Styela clava: one gene and its partners. The protein of the gene in region 2 interacts with the protein of the main gene of each other region in a pairwise test. Links are inferred from orthologs where the notes say so. Each region holds a gene or a part of one and is shown on either strand. Other genes may lie near its edges.

Region 1 (6,923 bases), on a different chromosome or scaffold from region 2:
TAAGCAAGTATGAGATTCCTAGACACTCTAATGCTAATACAACTATTGACGGACAATATGAATTTTATGATACGTCGGGAGAGGTGTTCCACAGGATGTAAGATAGCAGAGAAATCGATCCCCAAACATACACCCTGCTTAATTTTTTGCCATTCTCTAATTGTGCTTAATAGTGGGTGTGCAGGTTAATATTCAGTAGTTATTTCACATCAACTGGGAAGCATCAAGCCACATTTATATGGCTTCATCTCTGTGAACTTTGTCAGATAAGAGTCCAGGTCTTATCTTGCCCAAATATTTGCTAAACCAACTGCTGCTTGTTCCTTGACATGTGGCCTTGTAGTTAATGAGTTCTGTTATCATTTCGTCAATTGTGGATTTGCAGCAGACTTGCCAATAATACTTCAAGGTGGAACAAGTCATTCACTGTAAATTTCTGCTGCAAAAAGCCAACTTGTAGCCGAAGATGCAATTTCTATCACCTATATCTTCATCTTAATTAAGCTACTACATATGACAATTGGCAGGTTGGATATTTATTGAATGGTTAATAAGAAATATATAAGTCATAAGCGCACAATTACTGCTTGAATGAAATTAAGGCACTATTCAAGGCAAATATTCACTCCTGTTTTACCATTATATGAAACTATGCTACTATCACATATCATGTCAGGTTTGTAGAGGTAAAGAGAAATTAGAGATTATTTTTCATTAGCGACATAATTTTTGTGTTTTTTCACAATTTCCAAGTATTCATCAACGTCATCAGGTGACCCCAAGAAAACTGGGACTCTTTGATGAATGTTTTCTGGGACTATATCCATAATACGTTGGTGTCCAGTAGTTGCCTTTCCACCAGCTCTCTCCAGTACATAAGCCATGGGTCCAGCCTCATACAGAAGACGTAGCTGAAAAGCACACACAACATATAAAAGAGCTGAAACAGAGTATGTAAATCTCAATTGTAAATATTACCTTTCCGTTTGGGCTCTGGCTGTGTGCTGGATAAGCAAATACGCCACCATAAACCAGAGTCCTGTGTACATCTGCTACCATTGAACCAATGTAGCGAGCATTGTACGGTTTACCACCATCCTGTAAGTAAGCAAATAGTTATAATACTTTGATGAAAAAGTCATAATTTATAACATAATAAAAATTGTTACCTGTGGAAACTTCTTCCTGTCAACATATTCCTTTATAGCAGGATCCCAGTACTTCGTATATCCTTCATTGATGCTGAAATATTTTCCTTTCTTTTTGATTTTGATATCTTTCTGTGTTAATATGAATTCACCAATACTCTAAATTAAAACAGAAAATCAGTTTTGCATGTGTTTTCAACCTAATATATTGAAAAAGTAAATACCCATTTCATGGCACACCTTACCAAACACTACAGTCAAGAGTTTTAAACAAACACACAAGATGATCAAATTGTACGAATCTTACAGGATCCAACATGAACATGTCCACTGATAGCTCTGTTGCAATCACAATGACAGTAGCACTTCCATAAAGTGCATAACCAGCTGCCACCAAATTATTTCCAGGCTGAAGAGCATCAGCGGCAGTAGGTGGTCCATCAGAAGCCTAAAAGCAAATTAAGAAATGGGAATAGTTTACACAGTATTATTGACCATAGGTTCTCAAAGTACTCCGTAAGAGAAAACTTGGGGCTATGCAAGCTATTCATTTGATTATTAAAATACTGAATATTTTTCAAATACAAAGCAGTAAGTACATCAGAATCATCAAATAAAGTAATTTTTGTTTACTCAGGGACATTAATCAGTAAATAAAAACGCGTTCTTATAAATTAATTGCGGGGCTCCGTTAATACTACTCAACCACTGCAAGGGCTCCGTAACACCAGAAGCTTGAGAATACCTGTTGATTGGGGTTGTTACTCTCATTACTTGATGAACTGAACATATTCATTATTATTATAATGTCACATAACCATAAGTCTTCCAAACCACTTTGATATTATCCTCCGACCAAAATATAAATCTTGTTCTACTCACCTTTTTAAATATACCAAATATTGTTCCGATGGATACCAGGCAATCTATATTTGATGAGCCATCCAGAGGATCAAATGTCACAATATATTTTCCCTGTGAAAAGATGTTGATTAAAATTTATACTTTGGTAGTATTAATCTAGTTTTCAGAAACAGTAGGCAAGGTCATAAATTTCAGTCCTTACATGCTTTTTTAAATCAACTTCAACCACATTATCGTTTTCCTCGGAGACCATCAGACATGTACTGTAAGATGACCTGAGCAAATTCACCATCAAATCATTAGCAAGTACATCGAGCTTTTTCTGTTGATCACCAGTTGCATTTTCCGTACCTGATATGCCATATCTGTGAAATACAAGGACATGAAATTTTACTTATCACAAGTTCATCTGTTTACAAATACATAAGAATTCTTGAAAACACAGAAATACCAATACTTACAAGTTTGCAATTCCAGCCCTTCTTACAGCTGCAGAGATAGCTTTCACAGCAGTACAAATGCTATTCAATAATTGTGACAATTCACCAGTTCCGCCAGCTTTTCTACCACTTTCATTTATATGCCTTGTCAGAATACAAGGATCTGTGTCCAATTGCGTTTCAGTTGACATTGCTTCTGTATTTATTAACTAGCAGCTATTGCACCGATAGCTAAAGAGTTAGAAAAGTACTTTAAAGCTAAATGGAAAAATGTGTAATTGAATAGATCATAATTTAGTAATTAGATTTGATTTGGCTTTACCCTACACGAATTCATGATTTATGTAAGCTTATTCCAGTATGATAAATTATTCCCAAGACAGCAATATTTGATTGGCCACAAATTCAAATGAAGTCTGAAAGTGGTCCTGCCCACCTTCTCATGCTCATGCACTCAACTTTGATTGGACAATTTCGCATTTGACTCAAATATAATATCGTGACAACATTTCATTTATAAATATTTTATTTATTAATCACTCTTATTTACAAAATCGATATTCAATTTAGCAACTGTTATAAAATTATTAATATGGCATGGCAAATAATTTTTATGTGATTTATTTTAAGTTTTTCCTGATTTCCTAACTCCATTGTGAGTTATTACTCTGTGGTTGTGCATGGGAATGTGTGTGTGTAAATTTATTTGATAATTTTAGATGAGTGAACATGCATGACATTTCATTTTGGCAAAACCCTGACACTTGCAGACTTAAGGTTTTCATTGCTCTCCTAATTCTATTTCTGTATTTATTTGTTATCAATTATATCCCCGCCTTTTATGCTGATTATGGGGTCGGAAAAAATTAATACTAATGTGTGTATGTCAGTACTGCAGTAGGCATATACAATCTTGACACTTTGACTAACACACTCACAGTTATCAAAAGTTAACTCTTCAACTGTTTATGGCAATAGAATTCCCAGATTGTGGATGAATATACGTTAGGGATAAAGCTCTGGTGCTACACTAATCACTTAACTAATTACTGAATTACGTACCGTATCGTAGCATTTGAATTCACAATCAACGGTCTCGTAAATCATCAAATTACTGCGAGCAGTCTAAATCTGGAACCTTTTCTGCTCTATGTAAAACGAACGCATAAACCGAATTTTGTTTAGATAACAACAACACTGACACAGGACAGCATTTGATCATCGTAGGTTGAACATTATGATGTAACTATGCTGCATTCGAATTTCCAAGCATCACGTATACTTTAGCGATTTCGCAACCGGTTGACTAAATCATCAATGATATCATCCAATCAGGTTCTCCGTAAGAGACGCGCCCATAAAATATTGTCCAATCACCGAGGAAAAGTTAGACAGTGGCAAACAGAGTCTGGCAGGGAGGCGTGTTTAATTAACGTGGACTCGCCGGTCATGTTTAGTTGACCCACAAACGAGAGTTTAATTTTTAACGATTGGTTAAAAATTGTAGTGACGGATATCGATAACCATAGATAAGTAATTTGGTAATCACACCCGATGTCAAACTTATCCCTCTTATGTAGAATTAGAAAATACGGTACCGGTACCGGTAATAGACAAAAATTCACGTCAAAATTGCCGTTCACAATGACTCGGCATGAAGTTTTTATATGTCATGATTTGATAATAAATCAAATTAATCAATCCATAAAAAGTGGAAATAAGAAAATTGTTTGAATATCAATACTGTAGTACAGTACAGACCGACTGAAACATGGGGTCCAATTTACAAATAACACATGGCTTGTTTGTTAGGGTGGCTGAAAAATGTGCTCTATTAAGATATATTTCAAATTGCCTATTAATAATAGTGTATCCCATGTTTTTTCTCTCAGAAATACTATGGAACTATAATCAACATTCTGGCTAAAATGTGTTTTTTTGTGTAAAAAAATAAATATTATTGAGCGATTCCATTCGATATCAGATTTAGATATATAAGGACTCTCCATAGAACTGCCAGAAGCACAAGATGAAGTAATTTAGTCAAGATATAGACGATTAAAAATTTCATCCGAAGTTACAAACCATCGGAAGTTACCTGCTTTTACGGTACAACATCACTGAAACTGATTTAATTCAAGAAAAGCATAGACATTTATATACGGTAATAAAATTGTTAATAATTCGAAGGGTGAAGATAGAATTGTTTTTTTGAGAGATGGTAATTTTATAGGGGCTTGTTCAAATATACATTCTAAAATTTTGGCCAATAATGTAAAGATTTTCAATTATAAATTAATGTGGGACATTTTATCAATCAAAGTTAAGCCAAGAATAAGACATATTTCTGGGGATAATATTTGTGTGTTATGTAAATAAGATTCTGAATTTGTGTCTCATTTGTTTTGGAATTGTTTTTAAACAGAATGTCTATGATTATATCTTTTCTGTGGCATTAAAAATGAGAAACTGTGTGATGAAAAATATTTATAAAACTTGCATTTTATTGGACTTAAATGATCACTGTTATTCAAATTTATCCATTATACAACGTAACTCTAATATATTGTTATTTTGTACAGCAAGATATAAAATTTGGTTGGAGTGTAATGCTGTGATATTTCAAAATCATAACCTAAGCATAAATAATGTTATTACGGTATGAAAATTAGGAACTCACTTATAATGAGAAGAAATATAGAAAAAGGGAGAAAGGAATTTTGTTATATAAAAGAACTTGCCATGATATGTAATAAATTGTGACGGATTCTAAAATTAAGTTTTTTTATGCTAAATAATTAAAAATAAACGATGTAATTTGTATTACGAAATCAACGAATGAATTATTGGAACTCCCTGGATTATATGGAATATTACATCTGATGGAATTATCTTGATATTACTGATATATATGTTTCTTCACTTTTAGTACACAAGATGTCTTAACATATATTTAATTTATATATTATTTACTTATTGAATAATCTACATTGTGGATCCATTTGAAGAAAAAAAAATGCATGCATTTTCTAATTATATGCATAATAATGTTAATGTGTTTTTTGGTATAATGGTATAGTAACAGTATGTCTGTAAGTTTGTTTAATTTTAGGTCCAACGCAGTGCTATAAAACTGTAAAAAGTAATGACCTGTTGTAACCCAGCTAATGCAGTTCTGCAGTTAGGCTATGACAGATAATTCCTTTGAACACTATTTTACTATGTGTTCATTTCACATGGATGATGTTTGTTAGTGGTGTTTGTTTTTGAAGCAACTTTTATTTTGTACATTCTCATATGGTTTTCTGGTTTTGGTGTAATATTAACCAAAAAATTTAGCAGACTAAACCTAATTAGGGAGTAGATGAGATATGTACTAATATTTGTAAATAAATTTAAATTTTTAATTGAACTTCTTATTGACTTGAAGTTATTATGTATGAACTTAATCTTACCGAAGTCTGACATATTTACATATGTATGCACATCTCAAGTTTATAAACATGTAAATTGTTGGGCATGATTTAGAAAATATATAGTGAGAGGTAGGAAATAATATATGTATTTGAAAATATTATTTTTGAAATATTCCGTAGACTTTTAGTCATTCCTGGCAATATCTATTATCTGAATTACCAGTAACACATTTTCTTTAGGAATCACACATGATCAAATATAAGTAATTTAATTTGAACCTGAAAATGGAAACAATGAGTGAAATGCCCTCAACCCAAACAATGGACACAATATTGTGTTGTGATTGCGGCATTCCTATACAACCCAATCCAAGTAATACATGTGTCGACTGCCTTCGTTCTCGTGTTGATATTACTGATGGTATACCAAAGTCTGGAAATTTGCTAATGTGCAGGAATTGTGAAAGATATCATTCTCCTCCCAATGCTTGGACAAAGGCAGCTCTTGAATCGCGAGAACTACTCGCAATTTGTTTAAAACGGCTCAAGTCAACGCTGTCAAAAGTACGTTTGGTGGATGCTGCATTTGTTTGGACTGAACCCCATTCTAAACGAATTAAAGTTAAAATTGCTATTCAAAAAGAAGTTGATGGTGGCACATTCTTACAGCAAACTTTTGTCGTCGAATTTGTTATTCATAATCATATGTGCAATGACTGCCATAGGATAGAAGCAAAAGATTTCTGGAATTCTGTTGTACAAGCTAGACAAAAGACAACGCATAAGAAGACATTTTATTATTTGGAACAAATTATTCTGAAACATAAAATGCACTCTACATGTACGAAGCTATCTGAAAATCCAAATGGGCTTGATTTCTTCTATTCATCTAAACAAGATGCCAGAAAATTTACTGATTTTCTTATGAGCATGTTGCCTTGTCGTTACCAGTCAGCACAGCAGTTAATTTCGCATGATGTCCATACAAGTACCTATAACTATAAAACTACTTTTTCTGTTGAAATCCCTCCAGTCTGTAAGGATGATATTGTCTG
Region 2 (7,870 bases):
CCCCTTATTGAAATGTAAAAAAAAATTTTTCGGTATCATACATCGCATGCACACTAGTACATACACAGCACCCTAGCTGATACGATCCAACTGAGAAATTAGAAATCTCAGAACCCCCCTCAAAACTCCTGGCAATGCCCCTGGCTCCGATATTCGCGGCGTAGGTATGTTACCAAGCTTTATGGTGACTCTGAAGAGACTAAAAAATATTTTATTTACTGTGAAATATTCATACTGGAAAATATTCAACAAGCTTACTATCCCGATTATTCAAAAATGGAAAACGAAGGCATTATTCTAGAGAAAAATATAAGGGATGCCATAAGCCCATAACATTGCATAAAATCTATGTTGCCTGTAACTAGAGAGGTACAAAGTATGCTGTTCATTAGCTATTTTGTGGAAATGAAACTCAAAAAAGTGCAGATAAGAATACAAGTTTTATCAGTTGATAAGATGAGGCAGAAATCATAAAAAATAATGATAGTACACAAATATTGATACACGATTATAGTAATACAAACACCTAGATTATAATAAAAATTCATTACTGAAAATATGAATATATAACCATAAAGAGAGTTGATTAGGATACTAACCATGATTTAGTGCAATAAGTCATGTATTGTTTTTACATTAATAAAAAAAAAAATGCTCGGTTAAACGTGAAGAGAATAAATCTCACCAAAAGTAAGGAAATTCATCAATTGGGCCCCACTGGCAATCAGTATCACTCAATACATACTCAAAATAAAGTTCAAATTTTTATCTGGCTTGTGGGAATCGAACTATTAAAAACACACTGAATCATAGTTTCCCTTGAGCAGCCAGTTTTATTCGCAGACTGTCTGGCATTTCTGGTGGTGGCGGGCGAGGTAAACGGAAATAAACTTTCACTGAATCATAAATAAACCACTGAAGGGCAGTGACAGTACCAATCATGATAATACGAGCTGTGAGACCTTTCCAAATTCCGACTGGCCCTAATTTTTTAAGAGCATCAAGTGGAGAGCTACCAGCGTCATTATTAAGTACAGACACAACCGAGTCAGGAGGATGGGACCCAATAGCGCAGAGTACACCTGCGATGTAACCAGCGACAAACGTAACAACCAGCTGCTCTGGCTTGCTGCATTCATCTCTCGGTTTTGGCACAACATACTTGTACATTGCCTCTACTGTTCTCTCAAAACAAGAGAATTTGATCATGGTATATGGAATTTGCCTCATCCAAAGTGGAGGTAAACCTTTGTAAAAGGCAGTAATACCCTCTTCTTTCCACATTTTAGGAAAAGCTTCACGTAAAGTATTTGCAAATCCTGGCTGAGTTTGAATTCGTACTTTACAAGCTTCCATCGGTGCCAAAGCTATATCGGCAAAAAATTCAGCAGAAGCACTTGCCGCCAAATATAAACTTGTTCTCCATAAATATGATTTTTCTTCACCCAATAAATTCCCATAAAAATTCTTAAAAACTTCATAAAATCCAAATTTGCCAAGTCCTTGCATTGAATAACCGATAAAAGTAGGTGCCCATCCTTTACCTAGGCCTCGAATGCCTTCTTCTTGTATAGAGACTCTAAAACCGCTGATAATCCCCCTGTATTTATCTGGCTCAACTTGTATTCTGCATTTCACCAAATCAAGAGGAACCATGGCAGTATGAGTTAGACCACAACTTAGAATCCCTCCGAAGCCACAGATGGCATAATATTTTGCCGATCCAAATTCACAACTATTGCCAGTTTCCTCTACTGATAGTATTCTTGTATCTGCAGGAACTTCAGAAAGTTCTGTGAATTTTGCCTTTTCCTGGCATATTGCTTTCATATTAGGCATGCCTAAGACATTCCCATTTAAAATTGAGTTGACCATATCTTTATTCCTGTATTCCGTATTTAAATACTGAAATACCAATATAGAAAAAAGGATAGATGTTAAGTTGAAAGGCAAACATAGGATTTTCATATTTATCTCAGCGTAGAGTGAACTGGAAAGTCAATAAGATTGCTGAATGTTAATCCAGTACCGTAACCATAGGCAAAGCAAAGTTTAAGGTGCATGTCATTTACTGTCTCAATTTCCCACAACTTTCACAAAAGGTTTCCGATTTTCTACAAGAACAACCACACAAACAAAATAACAGTAACTCTGTAACTGAGAATAACAGAAACTCTGTAACTTACCGTAACATAAATGTATGAGTATCATCGCCACTTATATATCTGTATATGCTGCCGATGTCTTCATTGTCTTTCTATATCGCCTTATTTGTGCAAGCCTATGATGTCATTCTGATGTAACGATGGTGCAATTTTGATGACGCGCGCCATTACGTCCTAACATACGTCACGAATTAGCGACGGTACTTTTCAAGTTCTTGGCGTTGAACAATTACCATAGCAGACCTGGGAGAATTGATTACTATCTTTGCTACACGACGTTCTGAACTTCTGACTAAAATGAAGTGCGGCTATACACGGATTAAACGCTATATGAAGTGTAAATACATGAGATTGCGACTGGGTAACGATAGTAATACACTTACCAAGGTACGGATGATTACGATACTGTAATTCACGCGTTTCGATTTGAAATGTAATTTGTTTCGATGGTACAGTATTATGCATATATAATAATTACGTATTATACAATATTTCACACTATCCAACACGGAATAAGTCAATCAATCAATCAATCGTTTATTTTGTCATCACAAAAAAACACGTTCAAACATAAAGTGACACGAGGAACTTATATGGTTTTACATAAGAATAGTGGTTATTATCGACGGTTACATATGGCCAATCCTATATATGACCCCCACAAAATTCTCAGAAGGCTGAAAAAGTCACCGTGCGATTGCATTTTGTTAAAATCACCGATTGTTTTTATCAGTGGGGCGTAGGCCGTAAACACCTTTACGTTTTTTTTTTTTTTTTTTGCCAAATTCAAATCCATTGCCAAATTGGATAAACCAAAACTATAATTTTTATAAAAACAATTTTACGTTGGTATTTATTCTCCTAAATCACAAATTGTTGTTGTTCCAAGAGCAAGATGATGATTGCTTTTTCGCACGGAATTTTGAGTAAACTGTAAAAAATGAGTTGTTATAGTGTATTCATCAGCGATGTGATGCTAAAGATGATAAAGGGTAAATAAAACGAAGGGAAACACAATGAGTTTTGTTTTAAGAGATCCGCGTAAATCGCACAATTTGTTTGGCTACCGTTGAAAATTTTTCAGCTTGGCAATATATTTTTCATAAAAGTACTGTTCACTCCCATTTATAAAATCGATCAATTCGGCAGTGGCAAACATTATAAATTTATTAATATGGTGTGGCAATCATGGATTAAATACTTTGCCCGTTCGGGATTTTAACGCAGACGCTTGGGTTTTTCCAACGGCGATATTTCAAAAATAATTTTGAGTAGCAGTCAGCGCTGAAAGAGAATAATTCAAAGTTGACACATCCCAAGGTTGCAAAAATTCGAATCCATCTATTCATAACCGGGTATAGTGTATCGCGTATTACATGTCCACAAATTTTCATAGTTTTTTAGAGTAGTCCTCCCTTTGTTTTACCGTAAGTCAACGCAAAGGCGATAATTATTCGCTGAAAAAATGTCTATTTTAAAGACTGGAGTAATCACGGCACTCGATTTAGAAGTTATTGCACGGGAATTTTTGAATTCCCATTTTGGAACCTACCTCATCATCATTCTCCCCGCCCCCCCCCCCATCATTTTTTTTTGTAATTCTGGCTACACCCCTATAGGGACCCGACACTCGAGTTTTTTTTTGTGCGAATTTCGTTCATGTAACGCTGGTCGGTTACGGCTTTTTCTATCATCAAGTCCACACATCTGAAAACAAATAACTGGCTTACTAATTCTATACCCGACAGGAACTGGTAGCTGGGCAAAAGGCCTCAAGTCAACTTTCTCATCTCTTGTATATTTATATTCTGTCCTAAACGATTTCTTTATGCACGAAATCGATGCTTGGAAAAACATTCATCGTGTTTGTCTGCTTTTTGAATTTATTTTTAATTTCGTTCAATCCCTTGGAAGCATTACTTTCATTATTGCTAATTGTTTTCAAATCTTTTCAGAGCTTTTCGAAAAATTTTGTTGATTTTGAAAAAATGTATTTTAAATACCTATATAAACAAGTTTTGTCTTCAGGGTTCTAGTCGGGACTGAAAACAAAGAACAGTTTTCGAATTACATTTTATTGAAAATTAACTTTATTGGAATAAAACTAATACAATGAAATATATTATAGTGAAAACAGGGAAGGGGAATTCTGATGTTATTTCAGGTTTCAGATAGTGCGCACGTCCGTCTTCCCACCGTTGATTTTCTACATTGTATGTACAGGTGCAAATCTTGTGGTTTGCGGCCATAACCGTATACGAAGTCGACATCTTATAAATATAATTAATAAAATTTAGCAAGTCATCGGCTGTTTTTTTTCCGCAGTGGAAAGATTATTTTTGATAGGAGTATTGTGAGAGGCGTGGTTTGGTTGATGACTTGAATTAGGCCTCAAGAGGTCGTGTGTGAGTCACCGAGAAATTACCTCCTCCCACGTACGACTCACAAGTTCGCCTTTTAGTTCAACATGGTTCAACCGCCTTAGTTAAGTTTTCTTTTTCATATTTGACTTCAACCTTCGAATCAGTAGACCCGGCAGATTTATGTAACTACTAATTATATTTCTAGAATGAGTACATATTGATGGTGTGTATTATGCAGTGTAGAGCAGACTATTATTTCCTTTAATGACGAGGAACACTTGAAGTTACCGGTATCTATGGATTTACATTGTTTACTTAGATACCGGTACCGCGATTGCGCGATACCGGTACCCCTATAAATAATGTTATCTGGAATGGCTGCTTATGGGGTCTGGTGTAGTTTAGTACCACATGTACTTCTAATTGGCTTGTGTCATCACTACGACGTTACTGTGACTTATCAAGCCCCTCCTGAACTAGATACAATTTATGCCAGTCCCACGATTTTTCAGTTTAAAATTTTTATTTTTTTTTAGTTGTGTTTTGTATTTATGGTATATTATTTCACCAATGTCTTTCATCTTTTTATATCTAACCATGGATAAGAATTCTGATATTTATTTTCATGTTTCTATAATTTGGATTGTACACAAGGAATTTAATTCTTGGTTGTAAGATAGAAAAATAAACGTATAAACATTTGTCTTTTTCACATCTTTCTAAAATTAGTTCCAACTGGGCTGTTTATTTTTTTCAAGTTATATATTATTATTCAGTAATCGTATTATGGAATACTCTTATCAAGCTCCTGATTGCTTGCCAGGACAGAACGATCTTATAGACTTCAGCTCAGATAGCAGCGTGGGCGTTCATAATCAAGAAGAGGGGGGTGAGATCGAATCCTCCAGTACTTTGACGAAAAATAGAAATCAAATTAATAGAGATGTAGTGGCTGTTAAAAGTGGGACTGGGGATATAGGGTTCGTCGCTGTCGGACGGCCGACCTCAGAAAATTCGATCTCAAAACAAAAGCATCGTAAAACACGATCGAACATCGAAAAAGAAAGCTATCACTCAGATTCGTCTCCTCGATGCCCTAGTAGTGGAATTGATAATCTCGGATACCAAACAATTTCAAGAAATGAATCGTATAGTTACGATGACACAGGACTTAGTTATTGCTCTGAACTTGAACGATGGGGAAATACTGAATTTTTGAACACAAATTTAAGTTCGTCTCAACCGGAGTATGTTTCTGTCGAAGGGGAACGTTATACTACAATCGATTATTCAAACGCTACTATCCAGCATGTCACAACCAATCAACCACGTAACGATAGAGGAGGACAATTTGTGGAGCTTCCAGAAACATCTGGACAGCGTACGCAAATTTCTGATACAAATCGATCGTCTCGTCAAGGACGTCAAACACCATCTAGTGATAGAGAGTCGTCCTATTCATCGCACTCGTCTCGTGGGAATTCACCAGTTGAAAACGAACCTAGTACTGAAATGAGGACATCTAGTGTCGAGAACAATGTAAACGAAACGACTCACAAAAGCACATCACCTGTACCTAAATCACCACCGTTATGCAAATGCTGTGGGCAGAATCACGGTGTTACGGAAAATCATGAATATAATTACGTCGACGAAGTTGATGAAGACCTGATGTGTGATATTTGTCTGCAACCACTGGTTGATCCCTACGATACAAAATGCGGACACACGTTCTGTTCTATTTGCATCAAAAATTATTTAAGAGTGAAACACATTTGTCCAGTAGATAGAGAAGAATTAACCAACACAGCAACAGACTGTTGGCAGTCAAGTCTAATTCTACGAAAACTAGTTAACAAATTAACAGTTACCTGTCCGCATGAGGAATATTGTGATAAAAAAATACAGCGCTGTGACCTTAAGGGCCATTTAAAGGAAATATGCCCAGGGGCCGTTTCACGGTGCCCTAAATCGATGTATGGCTGTGATCATAAAGGTCCAAGAGCTGGTATCGAAGCGCATTTGAAAATTTGTGCTTTCAAGGATAACAATGATAAGCTTTCAGATTTGCACCCTTTTTCGGAAGAAGTTGTCGTTGAATTGTTTCGACCAGAAGGTACAGCTGAGCTTGGATTGCTTATAGTCGGTGGTAGTGATACGCCGTTGCATTATATTATTGTTCAAGATATTTTACCGCAGAGTTTAGCGTTTCAAGATGGTCGTATTCATGTTGGTGACATTATAATGGAGATAAATGGAGAACCAATGTTTTCAGTAATGCATGCTGAAGCTCGTGCTGCGCTTACGAAGCCGTCTAATTTAATGAGGTTTATGTTGTTACGAGATGTGGACAATGAGGACCCCAGTGACAGCGTTGCTTCTTTAGTCAGAAAACCAAGCTCTTCTGCATATTATGAGGAATGTGTTGGCCTCATCAAACCTCCGCTTGAGCAGCTCGGGATTCGTATATCTTCTAGTGAAACCGGAGCGAAAGGTGTTTATATCATTGAACTAATCCCGGGTCAAGTTGCGGAATCGGACGGTCGTCTTCAAGTCGGAGACAGAATAATGAAAATTGGGAACACCGAAGTCGGTGATAGTACACCAGAACAAGCTGCTAGAGTTATCGGAAGTTGCGATAAAGAAGTAAAAATACTAGTTCGCCATCCGCTGGTTAAACCTACTATAGTCTGTAACGAATGGGCTCATGATTCAATAATACAAAGGCAGAAAAGTGCTTCAAATGATGCATCTACTTCAATGTCAAAATCCACGAATCCGTATTCGCCGCAGCAAAAGAAGTTGTCAAAATCATCCCACACGAAAAAAATAATTTCTGTCACAAAATCACCAAAGGAAAATTTAGGAATCATTGTTTCAGGAGGAAATGGGAGCCCTCGTGGAAATCTACCAATATTTGTTCAAGATGTTCTTTCCATGTCAGTATTAGGTAAAGACAAGCGAATACGTCGTGGCGACCTCCTTTCAGAAATAAACTCGATACGTTTAACTGGTCTCTCTCACACTCAAGCAATGAACGCATTACGGGAATCAGCTCAGCAAAGAGAAGTTACTCTCGTTGCTTACGAATTAGAATATGAAGGGAAAGCTGAAGACACAGCTTTATGGGATGAACTGACTTCTCTACATCAAAATCCAAGTAAATGGGCTCCATCTTGGAAAATGTGGCTCGCTGCTACACATGAGTTTTCATCGATACGCGAGGTGGTTTTACGGAAACCTTCTTCTACAAATTACGGATTTAAAATCACGGGAGGATTTACAGAAGAACATGGGCCATCCCCGATTTTTATTACGCATATTTCCAAAAATTCAAGCGCG
Region 3 (7,233 bases), on a different chromosome or scaffold from region 2:
AATTCATAAAAGGGCACTATAATCTAAGCTGCAACTCAAACACTTTAAAATATATTACAAAAAAATTATAATTGTTGTCCAAAATTCATTCATAGTGTTTATTTTGATAATTTCAAATCTGTCAAGTTACTAAAGAGGGGGAGAGATGGAATAAATTATCGGCGGTGATTAGTTGAGCTTGACGGTGTGGCGCATCGTGTTGAGTGTTAGGGATACGCTTGCCGGCGCATCTCTGATTACCCTGCTTGATTCGAACGTTCGAATTCTGTGGGGGGATTCAGAGCAAAAAAACAAACGAAAATATAGAAAAAGTGATTGTATAGCAAATATACAGCAAGTGCATATATGATGACTTAGTATGCGAGGTGATAACCTAACTTATCCTAACCTGAAACTGTCATGTCATTCTACTACTACTGAACAGAGCCCAAAAAACAGATCAGAAAATAAAATAGTGTCTAATGTCTGTCTTATGTTAGGTCCCCATTTCTCAACCAATGAGCTATGGCCCACTCCTTGGCCGCAGAAAGATTTCGAGTTAGGCCACAAAACAACCAAAAATTGATAATCTGATTTGTGTCACTATTGTTAATTTTAATTGTAGTACCAATGATTGATCGTGCTGTTTTCTGCTACTGAATGGTATATGTCATTCTAATTATTAAATTGAAATTATCCATTTTTGCAAAAAAAATTCGTTTTATTCTCGTAGTTTTTCATTTGCAATAAAAAGTTGATGGACCACATGAATTTTAGGTTTCCCTATATTTGAACCCATAATTTGAACCCATAATTTGAACCCACGACAATTGCACCTGCATACTATTGCACCTATGGAAATATTTTTCGTTTTATGGATATTTGAACCCATACTAACCCTAACCCATGGGTTTTAGCACCCGCATATAGATTGAACCTGCCGCGGATGAAAATGTATGGGTTCAAATGTGCTGTCATCGAATTTTAGGCAAAGAAAATGGGCCACAAAAAAAGGTTGAGAACCACTTTTCAACCTTATCTAAGAAAATAAATCAGAAAATTAGTGGGGAAAATGACTTATATTAGATCAGATCAGGGTAAGTTAGGTTATCGTCCCGCCTTCAAACCTAGTCTAAGAGAAAAAAAAAGTCGAAGAAAATTAGGAGGCTAAAACAAGCTAATTTTACTTTATGAAATTTGCATAATCATGAAGAGACTCTGAGTAAAAATTTTTTAAGAACTCTGATAAAATAATAATCTTGAGAGAATTTGCTCGTTGTGATGTACGCTCACTCGGTAGGAAAAATGACTCATATCTGAGCAAAATTATGAGCGACAACAAATGCCAAAACCTAATGAGCAAAAATAGCAAAAAAAAATAATTCTGATTTTCTGAATTTTGAAAAAGGCCTTTGTTTTTTTTTTAATCAAAATATCCTGACCAGTGGTTCTTTTTAGCAACAGAGCCAGGGTTCAAACCGCCGCAGAAAGAATAGTTGAGAATTGCCGATCATGACAGCTTTGAACATAAATCCTACTTTATACCAAAATTATAAAAAATGAGAAACAAATTAAAATCATATTTAAGGTAATCCAGAGAAAACTAGTAAAAAAAATATCATCGTGCAACTTTACTTTGATTTTGCTTTATTCTGCTCAACCCAATTGGCAATGACTTGATCTTCGTGGTCGAGAATTTGACTGATTTGAAGAAATGAATGTTGGGACAAAACATCAGGAGACGGGCGAGATTTCGCTTCTTTTTGTAGACAGCCGTTAACGAAGTCGACAATTTGAGAAGAAAATTTGTCCGTTGGTAATTGTGGTGGGGCTGCGTTTACGATACATTGTAAAATTTCCATTGGTACCACCCCTCCTGAGCTGCGAATTTTCATAGCTAATTCTGGGTAGGGGTATTCCCCTGTTGCCATTTCACATATGGATAACCCTAAGCTCCAAATGTCCGAGTAAAAAGTATAATCAAAACCTTCGACCCTTTCGGGAGCCATGTAGGCGTTCGTACCGATATAAGTTTTAGCAATTGAGTTCACAAGCTGACGGCTGACGCCAAAATCGCATAATTTTACTTGTCCGTTACTGTTCACCAACATATTTGAAGGCTTCACGTCTCTATGCATTATTTTTCTCCCCCATAAAAATTTTAACCCCGATACTACCCGGTGAGCGATACGCTTTAGAACAACTTCTGGTATCTTCCCAAAACGGTCCAATGAACCTCCGTCCATGAATTCAGTGCATAAAAATATTTTATTTTCGTGCGAAAAAGCCCCATAAAAGTCTATAATCTGCGGGGAACTATTACATTGGCTTAAAATTTCCAATTCTGACTTTATTCGGTTCTGTTCTTCGCCTGTTAAATCAATTCCAATAGACTTAACAGCCATCACAATCCTCGACGCTTTGTGAATTACTTTGTAGACAATTCCGCTGTTTCCATTTCCCAATGTTTCTACGTAAGATAATGCTCGACTGGACAGCCCCTCCATTTCATGAAGCTCTTTTTTATTTTCATTTATACCCTCAGTATCTGATTCCGGAATTCTGTATTGTTGCTGGTAGTTTTGTTCGGCAGCAGTTGCGCTTGATTGGGTCTGTAATTTTGAAGAATTTGAGGTTGATTGTTGTGTCGAGGAAACAGCATTCTGCGCGATGAGTCGTTTTGACGGCGCAATTTCAAGCTTGAGACCAAATTTGTTACGATTCCCGGGGTTTTTGCAAAGTTTTGGACGAATAGTTATTCTCTCTTCATCTTGGCTTCGATAAAATTCAATCATTGAGTCCAGATCGCCTTGATTTTTCACCGTTATTATATCTTCCTCCTCATCAGCGTACTCAAACGCTGACACAATCAATTGGTCATCACTGGCTTGATAAATCGCATCAAGAAAATCACTGAACGTAACATTCTCCGGTGATTCAACGATCCAATCAATTTGCTTTCCATCTCTAAACGAAATCCTTATCAACATTATCAATATTACTGGTAGATTAGATAATTCATATCATCTTAAAAATAGAAGATAAATACATATATAAAAATATAATTTCTAGTGAGCAATGTAAGTTATATAATTCGGCGCTCCAGAAGTGTGTGTACCAATATGAAGGTAACTAGTTTTGTTCGCCTACTTTACATCAAGTTGTGTAAAAGGACTGAAACCTATGAGCAGGAGGTATATTCACTCGGCTTACACAGACAGTCCTTGAACTCGTAATAGAACTAAAATAAAGAAAATCGAAATAAAATTATGGCCTAACCCTAACCTGGTACACACATTACAGAAATACCGATAATTCATACGGTAAACTGTCTTGAAGCCAGTTTCAGTAATTCCAAACTTTTCAAATTAGATATTAGAACCTTGCTTGGTAACAAGCTTTGGTACTCTGCAACTACCCTTACCCAGTAAAAATGGATAATTCTCGTTTTCTCGTAATTTGTGCTCGAGTGGTGTTTTTTTACTGGTTGGAAAAAAGAAACTTGACTTGAATACAACAGATATTCCTTGAGCCTCTGGATTGATTCATTGAGATTCCAGTCCAATAAAAAGATTGATAACTACTGCTCTGTGATGGACTTCCAATATTGAAGAAGAACTGATAGTCCATATATACGGTAGTTTTAACTTTATTACTAACTCTAAATTCTAATTTAGGGAATCTAAATTGAAAAGACATTTACACAATTAAAACACACAATACTGAAATAGCATATCGGCAAAAATTATAGCAAATAATAAGGAAATAGACTACCCTGGAACAATTTAAACCCATATCCCCCTGTGAATTAATGAAGCGTGCCCAGTCGGAACAATCTTATCCCAAAGGAAGAGTACCAATGCTGCCAGTTTGTGCTTGAATGAATTTTAACAAGGATGAAGTCACATTGTACTAAAGTAAACTTAGACCATACAATGAGCGGAATGTTCAAAAATCCTAAAATGATTTTGTTATGAAGTCATTTTTCAATATATCTTGATAACCAGGTTTGTTTTATTATAATCAGTGTTTACCTCATTAATATGCCTGCAAACAAACTACATAAGGCATCGATAATTTCCCTTCGCAATTTTTTTCTTTTTATAAGGAAATTTGCCCAAAGTAAAATCATGCGCACTCAGTCGGAAATATGGGGAAATCAATCTATTAGCAAGAGATGGACGACTCTTAAAGTGACAAAAGCTGACTGTGAAAGAATGAAGATAAAATAGAGCAATGGAAGTATTACATCAGCATGAATAAAGACAAGTCACAAGACAAATAAAAAATATTGTTTTTCACACTTTTGTCACTCTGAACAAGGCTTAGACAAGCAACCACTGTTATGTAGGGGCTATAATGAATTCAGGAGCCAGGGACTTACCCAGGGGGGGATGGAGGTTTGTAGGTTTCTCCCCCCCCCCCCCCCCCTCCGCCATTTCAAAAGGGAAAAAAAAAGATTCTGTATTATACATAGTAATTTTTTTGCTTGAAACGCTTTTTAAACTTCCATGTTTCCGAGCCAGCCAGCTGCTACAGTCTAACTTGGCAATTGGAATAGGAGAAAGGGTCCGAAGTTTAGAGTTATATCAAATTATCACAAATATTGAATTTTATCAAATAAAATTTGGCAAATATGATCTAATTGGGGTAATTTATTTGGACTCAGATATTAAACATGTTATTTTTCCCTAAAAAATGACAAAAAAGTGTAAGTAAAATGATAGCCGTTCAAAGAAATGTTTTTAAAAAAATATACAATAAGCAAATTAACACAGATCACTTTCTCAAGAGTCCCCAAGACGAATTGAAATTTTCAGGTCTCAGTAATCAATTTAAAAATAAAAATAATAGAAATATCAAAAACATTACTTGAAAAAGCAGCAAAAAAAATGAGAAATATAAGCAGTGATGCATATCATGTCAACAGTCACGCATGAATTATCAAAATGACAAATTACTGATTTCAGTAGTATTCACAAGAATAAAGGATAAGATGGGTTTTTAATATTTACCATGGAGGGGATGAAATTAAATAAGTAGACTTATCCCTATGGCCTTAATCATTCACGCATGAGCCAACTCATTCATGCATGACCAAACTCATTTAGGCATGACCTAACTCGTTCATGCACAAACATATCAATTGGAAAATACTGTTTTGCCACCTGCAGTATCAAAACGAAGGGAAAAAATAAAAATGTCTTGAATATAGCTTATAAAATTTACAGAAAAAAAGCGATGAGCATAAGAAAAAAGACGAACACACAAAACTGAGCAAAATAAAAACTCTGTGTGATTCTGCTGAATTATACAACTAGCATATGTTTCAAATGCTGCAAGGACGGAGATATTTAAATGCATCGAGTGATAAATCTGCTTAAACTCTTTTATATTATCTAAACCAGGGGTGGGCCAAATGCGGCCCGCAAGGAAAAATTGTGCGGCCCGTGAAGAATTAACAATTCTAAATGGTGTGCCCGCAAAACGAGTATTCATCCTCCGTCGTCGCAAAGCCTATACCAGTCCTTTTAGCAAAACAAGCTAGCGAAATTCTGTTGCAAAATACACGATATAGGTCCTATTACAAAAACGTGTTTCTCACTGAATGGGTTTAAAGTCGGTGTGACAATAAAGTCAAATGTGCGTTTCAACTCACTATTTGTGCAAGAATCCCTAGTAATGCCGTAAGATCACTAGCAAAAATAAACGATTTTTGTGCTTGCAACTACTGGAAAGTCTAAATTAAATAAAAGTTCGCCCGCAGATTCACCCAGTTAATTGTATTTGGCCCGCTAATGAAAAAGGTTGCACACCCCCGATCTAAACCAGTGGTTTCCAAAGCTGATTGACCGCGGCCAAAATTAGAGACGGAAGGATATTCACAGGCCGAAATAGAAAAACGCCCGCAAGGGGTGATACTGGCTCTGTTACTTATAATTAATTGGAAAGTGTAATTGAATTGTCACGAATATACATGTGCTTAATCGTCTAATCCGAGAGCGTCCATGTCTTCTAATTCTTCATCTGAACTCTCTTCGTCCGTATTATTATTAATATCCATGTCGGTTATGTCTATATCGAAAGTTAATTTTTCCACCTCCCCAGGGATTTTTACTCCAAATTTTTTGCATAATTCTTTTAATAATAATAATGATGTAACAATTGGCGGTATCCAGAACGTAAAAACAGAAAGTGTTCAATTATTTCACTTGAGTTCAGCGGGCCATGTTAAATCGATACTAGGGCCGTAATTGGCCTGCTGACTGCGGTTCGGGAACCACTGATCTTAATAACAGAGTGTGACCCCTACTTCAAATAAATTTGTAAGAAAAGCAATATCTTGCCCATAATTTTTCAATTAACAACAGTATAATAAGCTTCCATCTCATCAAAGCATTATCAACAAAAAAAAAGAGGATAAAATTTTGACTCAAATATGGCACTGATAGTCATGAGTCTAGCCAACTGATTTCAACCAAACCAAGAAATCAAAAACAAGCGGCATCAGTACGTTCACATTAGGATCAAAATATTTGGACAAGTGTTACATCATATCAGGTTAATCAAATCTTTTATGCCAAATTCAATACACACAACATACTTGAATGTCGTACATAAAAATAATATACTGTGATTCAAGAGTCTTGCTGCATACTAACAAAAATAAATTTAACACAAATAAGAAATAAATTGACAAGAAAACTTCTCTATTCATCCTAGTTTCATTACTCGATAACGTTATTTCCCAGGGTGTTTTAACTTTGTTGAGCTTGAATTGTTCGGACATAATGGGATTTGGAATCTACCAATCAAAACAACACCATATATACCACTGGAATGATAAACAGTGAGCCATGAGTGCTAAAAGCCTTCGTAAGAGAGCCATAACAGGTTGGGAACCACTGTGCTACAGCATCTTTACAAATCGCATATCCAATGCAATAGCACAAAGCCACAAAGGAAGGGATAGGGAGTTCGTCTCGCGTAACCCCAACTGATTCAAAACACACAACAACATTGAAATGTCGTATAAAAATAATATACTGTGATTCAAGAGGGTTGATGCATACTAACAAAAATGCATTACTGTAGAGTAATTTCATTCTTACTATAGTACCCTTGCATTGCACGCACACAGATCCATCCCCTTAAAGACACAAAGGAAGCGTAGGGAGTTAGTCTCGCGTAACCCCAACTGATAGTAAAATAATTTTATTGAAATTACAATCTTTTGGACTTAATTTTTCCCCC
Region 4 (7,878 bases), on a different chromosome or scaffold from region 2:
GGACCAATTCTCATCAAAACATTGGTTGTGTCTGCAGGAGAGAGATTTGGCATATGAGGGTGGGAGTGCGGTACTTCAATTTTACCATTGAAAACCTCTGTCCCATAACTTGGCAAATCTGCTGCCTCTTTCAAGAAAAAGTACATGGCTCGAGATTGTGTTTGTCCTTCTAATGATTTGTGAAAATCAGCAATTCTGAAAAATAAATATTTCTTTACTTAAACTACCAATTCCATAACAAAATTAATATTGTTGAAAAAGGGCAAACAGAAATTATGTTATGAAATTTAACAATATTTTTAGGTACAGTATTGTGAAAGTTAGGCCAGTAGCCACACTCATCACAACACTCGAAATACTGTTTAATCAATGATCTCAAACTCGCAAAAATTGAGCAGGTAATTCAAACTGAATATATCTTTTAATTAGTACATTTGTAATATTCTAATCTGTGAATAATACACCAATCATAATGTTTTTTCAATGATTACCATCTTAGCTAGGATTCAATCAAATGGGCTAGTTCAGTTTAATATAGCAAGAAATATAGTGTCTTCAAATCTGCTAGATACTAACCCAGTAATATCTTCATCTGTCAAAACTTTGTCCCCGAACTTCAAACTTTTATAGATATTCGTTGAATCCATGGCAGAACAATCCCCATGTTCAACTTGTGCAAGGTACGCCGCAAGCTGAGGGATTTTGTTTTGCGGAACTGTTAACTTCCCGTCTATGACGTCTTGGCGAAGTTGATAATAGAAGATTTGTCTGAAATAGTTTCATTTTTTTCATTAGTTGACGAATTTTATAAATTTGTGTATAGAATTAGATAGTTCGCATTAGTGTATTTGGAATCCTGAATCCTTTTATAAATTCATGTAAGATATGATATAAAAACATTTACACTAATGGTTACTTTTTAACTTTTGAATATTAGCATGTTTGGCATTCCACAAAACTTTTTTAGTTGATTTTTATATTGAATCATGTTTAGGAAAATGAATGAACCAAACAACAGTATGTTTAAAACAGCTGTGAGTGATATGTTCCAAATGAAATAATAATTCAAAATATTCAATATGAAGAAATGCATTTGAATACCGTAATTGGATGTTTTGAACAACTATGCTTTGCCAATTAATCATTTGATAAATTGATGGAAATAAATTTGTCACTTGAAAACTAGAACCAACAGAGAAAAGAGGACAAAATCGTAATTTTGGTTTGGTGTCGAATACTTGATAAATTGATATAAAACAAAAAAAATCCACAAACCTGGTAGATTCCTGCAGTAACTGATGAGGTTGAATGTAGTATTTCACTCGCAATCTTAGTCGATATGGTGGTTGACCAGATATTTGACCTATGACCCTATTGCGGAGATTCATCCAGAAAGGTTCACGCTTGACTGGACATACTTGAAGACCAAAGTAATCTTTTTCGACGGTGCCGATCAAATCGCAGACCTTTGAAATTAATATGCATAATTTATTACAAGAGTGCTTGCTGTTCATCATATGGGATTAAAATTCAAAAGCAAAAAAATCAAAGAGAAGTAATAAAAAAATGACTGTCAATATCTTGCTTATTACAGAAGATTACAGTCATCTTTTCCTTTTAGAATCAAATGTTTTTATGAACTTAATATAAAATTCTCCATCTTTTTAATGAGTTGCCATTTTGTACTTTTAAGCCAAACAAATTATTCAAATAGAAGTAGGCTACTAATAAAATATTACTATACTATATTATATTATACTAATACTATATTAATAATAATATAGTATAAAATACTACTATTTTGGCAATAATTGGGTATAAAAATTCCAAATTTTCAAATACTAGATTTCAAAGAAAGCAAAAATTGGAGAAAACATTTGAAAGATTCTGCTTCTGAAGTTCTACACTTTATTATATCTAGGTAAATATGATAATTTATGAAATATTAATGTAACTAAAAAAAGGCTGTATGACACAGAAAGAAACTCTTGAAACACACGTTTAGTTCAAATCAAACCTACTCAATTTTCAACTGAGCAGGGATATTGTGTTTGCGAGAGACGATTTTTTATTTAAAAAAAAATTGGGTTGTATTTTCAATTTCCATTTTTGTTTAGCGTTACTTAAGCACTCACAGCATTCAATATCACATTTGTGTTCAGCGGTATTCAAGCAGTCACGGCATTTACTTCGCGAGACCCCTTTTTTTCTATTGGTATAATCAAGTTTATTTCAAAAGTTAGTTACAAAATAATCAAGTACCGTACCTTCTCTAAAATATCTTGTCCAATTGCATGTCTGTCGACATCAACTTCCAGAACAACAGGTCGAGTGTCAGGTTTTGACACATAGCACAGTATCTGACCAGATTGCCAATTGTATAAATCTAATTGAAGACTCATGTTTGCACCACTTGTGCAAGTTTTTTTCGATAAAAATTCTTTAATAAGTAAGTTTTGTCTGAAAAATAATCAGTGTTGAATTGACTTAATATAATATTTGTAACTAATATAGTGACAATGAAGTCGCTACATTAACTACATACTTTCTTGACAATTCCCTCGCATTTAACTACAGAAAATCGCAAATTCGCATTCATACGGTAGGCTACCTTTCACTGTTTCACGTCACTCTATTCTGGTATACTATATTTAATGATATTCCTTCATCCTTTTGTCTGTCTAAGTTACAATACCACAAATATTTCAACCCTTTATTCAAGGTGTATTTATCTTAGACCGTTGCCAAATTTCGCGCACATGTTGCAACAAAAGACCTCGCGACTGACTTGCTGCAGCGCTGAACCGACGCGGTCACAGGAAATTGGTAATTTGACACGCTTACCAGCCCACAGTTTTACAGAATAGTCTTTATTTCAACATCACTATCCATTTAAGCTTAGCTAGTAATATTACAGCCTAAAGCGCACTTTTTGATACTTTTTTCAAGTAACGATCACTAACCGAAGAGCGAGGGATGACCGCCACCGACCTTCCGAGGGAAACATTTTCATCTACCGAATCGCGGAGCGTCAGCTGGTTTTGTTTGGCTGTGAAATATTCTCGCATTGTGATTGGTCAATCGTGTACTGTGACGTAACATTACTTGCGAAACATATCGATATGACCGAGGGTTACCAATTTTGTGAACGATAGTAACCTCTCTCGTTTGGGTTACAAGGATTCAGTGTATGAAAGCAACCTTCGCGTTGTTAATATTTAAACCTGTATATTCCGTCGTCATTTCGACGTTTTTATTAATTCTTTAATATTAAATAAACATGGCATTACCTGTTGTTTGCTAGATCTGAAGTACCGCAAAATGGCGACCAAAAACGCTGTATTAAACAGTAACGCAATTGTGAGCAAAATCGAAATTTGTTTATGAAAGCAATTTGTGAACATTATTCGGTAAATTTACATTCAATAATGCGTCAAATTATGAATTCGAAACTAAATTGAGTTTAAGCATTTTTTTTGAGCTTCAAATTCAACCAAATCGCTTGCCCTGAACACCAGTATTCTTAACCACACGCCAAAATAATAAATTTTTTTTATCATACTTCCTTCATAACATGCAACCAAAATCAAATTTGTTTAGAACGGGTTTCTGCGTTAAGTTTGAAATGCGACACCCAAATTTGCAGGCAATATAGCGAACAAATTTGTTATGCCGGCAATTACATGCCATCAAAAGTTATTAAAGCAATATAAACGATTGCGCCATTCCAGTTTTCGGCGTTATTTTAGGGGAAGCGAGTTCGTGCAAAACCCGTTTGGAATAGTGATAGGCTACTCTATGGTACAAATCGCCAGTTCCGCAAAGACGCTGCTTTATTAGCGGTTTTCCACTCGATTTATTTTGCTCACACAATTATCAGGTAAGATTTTCTTTCGATGTACTCTTTGAAAAGGTTTGGTGATGAAAATTGGTTATTTGTATAATCTTTTTAGAGTCCCATTTAACCTAAAGTCAGAAAATGTTTGCATAAAATAATATTCTCTGCCGAATGGCCAACCGTAGCCTCTCAACTCAATAATCATCGATTAAACACGATGAATGGACAATAATCCCGGAAGTGACGATATACCTGACCTGAATTGTTCATCACACATCAATGCAATACGGATAGTTGCATATGGTCCATGTTTCACTACAGTTTTATTGTATATAATGATGAAATAATAGTATAAGGCACATAGGTATTCCAATAAACATTCATCCAGTACTCATATATTGCGCATTATTTATAAGCGTACACTGCAATTTTGCACAAGTTTCTAGTATCGGTATGTATGATGCGATGGAAGGCTAATGTACACGAAAATCTTCCTTCAAATTTTTCTTCAATCATTTTTTTTAATTCTTGATATTCGTGTTTGGGCAAAAATATGTGAAATTTAAATGATAGTACTAAAAATGATTGACAGGGATATTCCATCATTGCAATATTCGTATGACGGTGGTCAAGCATGAAATATAACAAAATAATGAGGCAATAAAAAACACACTTATGTGCGAAAACGTACCGTAAAAAGCTTGCTCTCGATTAAAATCGATTATACAAGAAATATAAGACACTAATACTGATACGGCGAACATATTTACTCGAAGTTGTCGTTCTTGATTCCGCCCACGAAACACGTCTGCACCTCGTCAACTTGGCTTTCGTCGATTAACCATCAAATAAACAACAAATCAATTTTCTCTAAATCGGAAATTTAAATTCTATTTAATTCAAGAGTCTTGATGCACACTTACACAAATATATTTCTGTAACTTTTCGTCTGACCAAGGTCAGACTTTTTCAGACAAGCAGTTTACAACTATGACAAGAAACGCAATTGCATGCACATAAAAAATGGTATCAAAATTTCGGTTTTAGAGTTCTGGCACTGTTCCAATCTTAGTTATTTCTTTCTAACCCAAATTTTGATGCCATTATTTATGTGCATGCAATTGCGTTTCTTGTCATAGTTGTAAAATGCTTGTCTGTAGAAGTCTGACCTTGGTCAGACGAAACGTTACAGAAATATATTTGTGTAAGTGTGCAGCAAGACTCTTGAATTGAATAGAATAGTCATTTACACTCTTGCTATATAGCACCCTTGCGTAATACGCATACGGATTCATCAGCACAAAGCCATAGAGCAAGGAAAGGTAGTTAGTTTCACGTAACCCCAACTGTTAGTTACGGAAATTCAAAACAAGGAAAAACATGTCAAACTTGTGTTGCGGCGCAATGGGACATTGATTTCGACTTGTAAATAATCAATTTACACGAAGCAATATTTAAATTACTCAATCGACGAGGATATGTGTTAATAGAAAACACCCTCTATTGAACTTCACTGCGGAAGTTTAATTTTATTATATTTTTGCATTGAATAGATGATTTTACAACGAAATATTCTAATACACAAGTACATTGAGGAGACGAAAATGATTATTATTACATTACATGGTTGGTCGGTGTCCGGTCTTCGTATTGGGGAAACACAATTTAAAATTGGCCTTATATCACAGGTATATGTGTGAAAATGGGTTGAAAAAAATCTTCTTTCATTTCGGATAATTTAATCAACTCTGGTACGAAATAAAAACATTATTTAAGCGTAAACAAACACTGAGCACAATTAATGGGTGCTGTTGTTTTCAAATAAATTTATTTCGGTGTATTGGAAAAACTTGTTCTTAGTGTATTTATTGAAACATGTAGGCTAGCCATCGCGTTTTATTTTTCTTCTTTATGAAAAATTACATCAGAAAGTGCTATTGCAACTTTCATATACATTGAAAGATAAACAGGAAATTCTATTCGATCTTATCTCGACAATTCACAACCTATGAAGGTTAAATTTTAATAAGTCAACGAGGGAACGCAAGCAAGGTTTAATAAATAATATATTTCAATCAATCGCCTTTACTAGGCATAAGTGGATGAATCTCTATTTTTCTCAGTATCAGTACCGTAGGTCTTAACATTTACCGTAATATAAAAGCATATTAGGTCCCAGAAACAGGCGAACATGCGACTGGTAACCCAGATGAACATTCAGAACATGTAATGACAATCGTAGACTAACAGATTGCCATACACCAATATGTAGGGTCCATAAAGTCTGAAATAATATTTTAAAATTGCAAAGGGAATTTATCGATATCATATGCCACCACAAATGTAATGAATAAAGTATATATACCAGAACAATTACTGATTAAAAACCAACAAACCTGGTTAAGATATATTGAAAACTGACTTCAAAACAGAATTGAAATTGCAAGGGGACTTTATGGACACCTTGCACTAAATGTATAATTAAACTATAAATTCCAAACAGAGCCCCTGTGGCACTACCGCCTTTAGTTGGCCGCACAAATAGAAAATATTTACCGCTTGTCAAACAAAATAAAATGCTTCGTAACACAACAAAGCCACAAACTCACTCGCATTGTAAATATTTTGTTCGTTTTCCACGATGTGCTGAGAGTGACGTCACAGACCACAGAAAAAATATTGTTATTTGCGAAAAGTTTCATGTTCATAATATTATGCAAACTCAAAAGCGTTTGAAAAATTTTGCAATTTCGTTAAACACGCTGACCCACAAAATCCATATTCTTGAACGTTCTTCAATTAACTGGTCAAACGATCTGAACCCGTTACCGGTACCGAGCAAGAGGTAATATGGCTCGTCATATCACTATGTCGAAATAATATATTTCCTCTCAAATTATGAACGTGGAACTCTTGCCTTGTGTCTACTTTTGGAAATATTGAATCCGCATATGTTATATATTAGAAATTCTACCACAAATATTTCTAGCATTCCCAAACTCCAAAATATCCTCATATATATATGTGACAGCGACAGCAGCACGTCTGCTCCAAACGACAGTTTGCTAACAACAAAAAAACAGAAAAACAATTTTGCAGATTTCACACTGTCGAGACAAATGAGTCAGTACATGCTTCAATGATTTTCTTTGTTTCATCACAAACAACGATCTCCCTCATTCAGAAATCGAGAGGTTATATATTATCCCATGCCGAATGTGAGAGAGTGATAAATCGCGCCCTGTTACTGCGATTCACCCTTGGTCGATTATGGTGCTAGACAACGCACTGTTAAATTTGATACTTTGCCGTGATCCCCTTTACAGCGATCAGCTGGTAATTTCGTCGTCGTCGTAACTTTGAAGTACTTTTTCGCTTCGGGGGATTTAGCAATTAGCGAAATCGTATTTTGTAATCTACGTTGGTGATTTAATCCAATTTGCGGATTTCTGAACTTCAAAAACTGCACGATCATGAAATTTTGGAATAAAAGTGTCAAAACAAATTAGACAATTTCATTTAGTATCAAAATACTCAACTTCAAATTTTAACGACCTTGGTAAAAATTGTTATTCCTAATAATACTAAAAGAGCGATTTATCATTTCGTCAATCAAAATGTATTGCGGTGTACTAGGATTTTTTATATTGGGCTCTATGTTCTTTCTCTTTGTCTATTTCATTTTTCCTACTAATTCTCACACTTAATAATACACCCCACTTCCTACAGCACTACTTCTCCTTTGAATGTAGTCATCGATATTTGGTATCAGTAGGAATAACGTAACAAGCACTAGATTTTTCTGGTAACGGGGTACACGGAGCGGGAATCAGATAATTTAATTATTCGTTTTCTTCTGATACTGACAACGTATTTTTCGGGGGAAACATTATTCTTCTAACCAAAGTCATTGAGCAGCAAAAACAGAATAATATTCGTTCGTCATCCGTGGACATTATGTCAAATAAGCCCAAAGCCCAAAGTGGCTTCTACGGATGAGGCCATTCGAATGACGTTTGGGACCATACAACAATCCATGA

What was found. The genes of interacting proteins can lie anywhere in the genome.
Region 1: the proteins of ligand of Numb protein X 2-like (region 2) and 60S ribosomal export protein NMD3-like interact in a two-hybrid assay, tested with the Homo sapiens proteins (3 studies listed by BioGRID and IntAct). The link is inferred for Styela clava from reciprocal best matches to the Homo sapiens genes LNX2 and NMD3.
Region 3: the proteins of ligand of Numb protein X 2-like (region 2) and dual specificity mitogen-activated protein kinase kinase 5-like interact in binary tests that used the Homo sapiens proteins (3 or more experiments, as listed by UniProt). The link is inferred for Styela clava from reciprocal best matches to the Homo sapiens genes LNX2 and MAP2K5.
Region 4: the proteins of ligand of Numb protein X 2-like (region 2) and E3 ubiquitin-protein ligase MYLIP-like interact in binary tests that used the Homo sapiens proteins (3 or more experiments, as listed by UniProt). The link is inferred for Styela clava from reciprocal best matches to the Homo sapiens genes LNX2 and MYLIP.

The regions. Positions count from the first base shown.
Region 1 is NC_135257.1:11,931,591-11,938,513, reverse strand, and holds the start of 60S ribosomal export protein NMD3-like, read left to right. Parts: upstream 1-3,901; 5' UTR 3,902-6,153; coding exon 6,154-6,923. Other genes in the region: fructose-1,6-bisphosphatase 1-like, read right to left, coding at 705-911, 979-1,098, 1,170-1,307, 1,456-1,596, 2,031-2,123, 2,215-2,377, 2,474-2,643. UniProt on the Homo sapiens protein: Acts as an adapter for the XPO1/CRM1-mediated export of the 60S ribosomal subunit.
Region 2 is NC_135258.1:3,219,716-3,227,585, forward strand, and holds the start of ligand of Numb protein X 2-like, read left to right. Parts: upstream 1-4,866; 5' UTR 4,867-5,314; coding exon 5,315-7,870.
Region 3 is NC_135255.1:21,646,504-21,653,736, reverse strand, and holds the start of dual specificity mitogen-activated protein kinase kinase 5-like, read right to left. Parts: upstream 3,023-7,233; 5' UTR 2,970-3,022; coding exon 1,611-2,969; 3' UTR 1-1,610. UniProt on the Homo sapiens protein: Acts as a scaffold for the formation of a ternary MAP3K2/MAP3K3-MAP3K5-MAPK7 signaling complex.
Region 4 is NC_135262.1:4,060,293-4,068,170, forward strand, and holds the start of E3 ubiquitin-protein ligase MYLIP-like, read right to left. Parts: upstream 3,023-7,878; 5' UTR 3,014-3,022; coding exon 2,964-3,013; intron 2,461-2,963; coding exon 2,268-2,460; intron 1,467-2,267; coding exon 1,276-1,466; intron 769-1,275; coding exon 577-768; intron 196-576; coding exon 1-195. UniProt on the Homo sapiens protein: E3 ubiquitin-protein ligase that mediates ubiquitination and subsequent proteasomal degradation of myosin regulatory light chain (MRLC), LDLR, VLDLR and LRP8. Activity depends on E2 enzymes of the UBE2D family.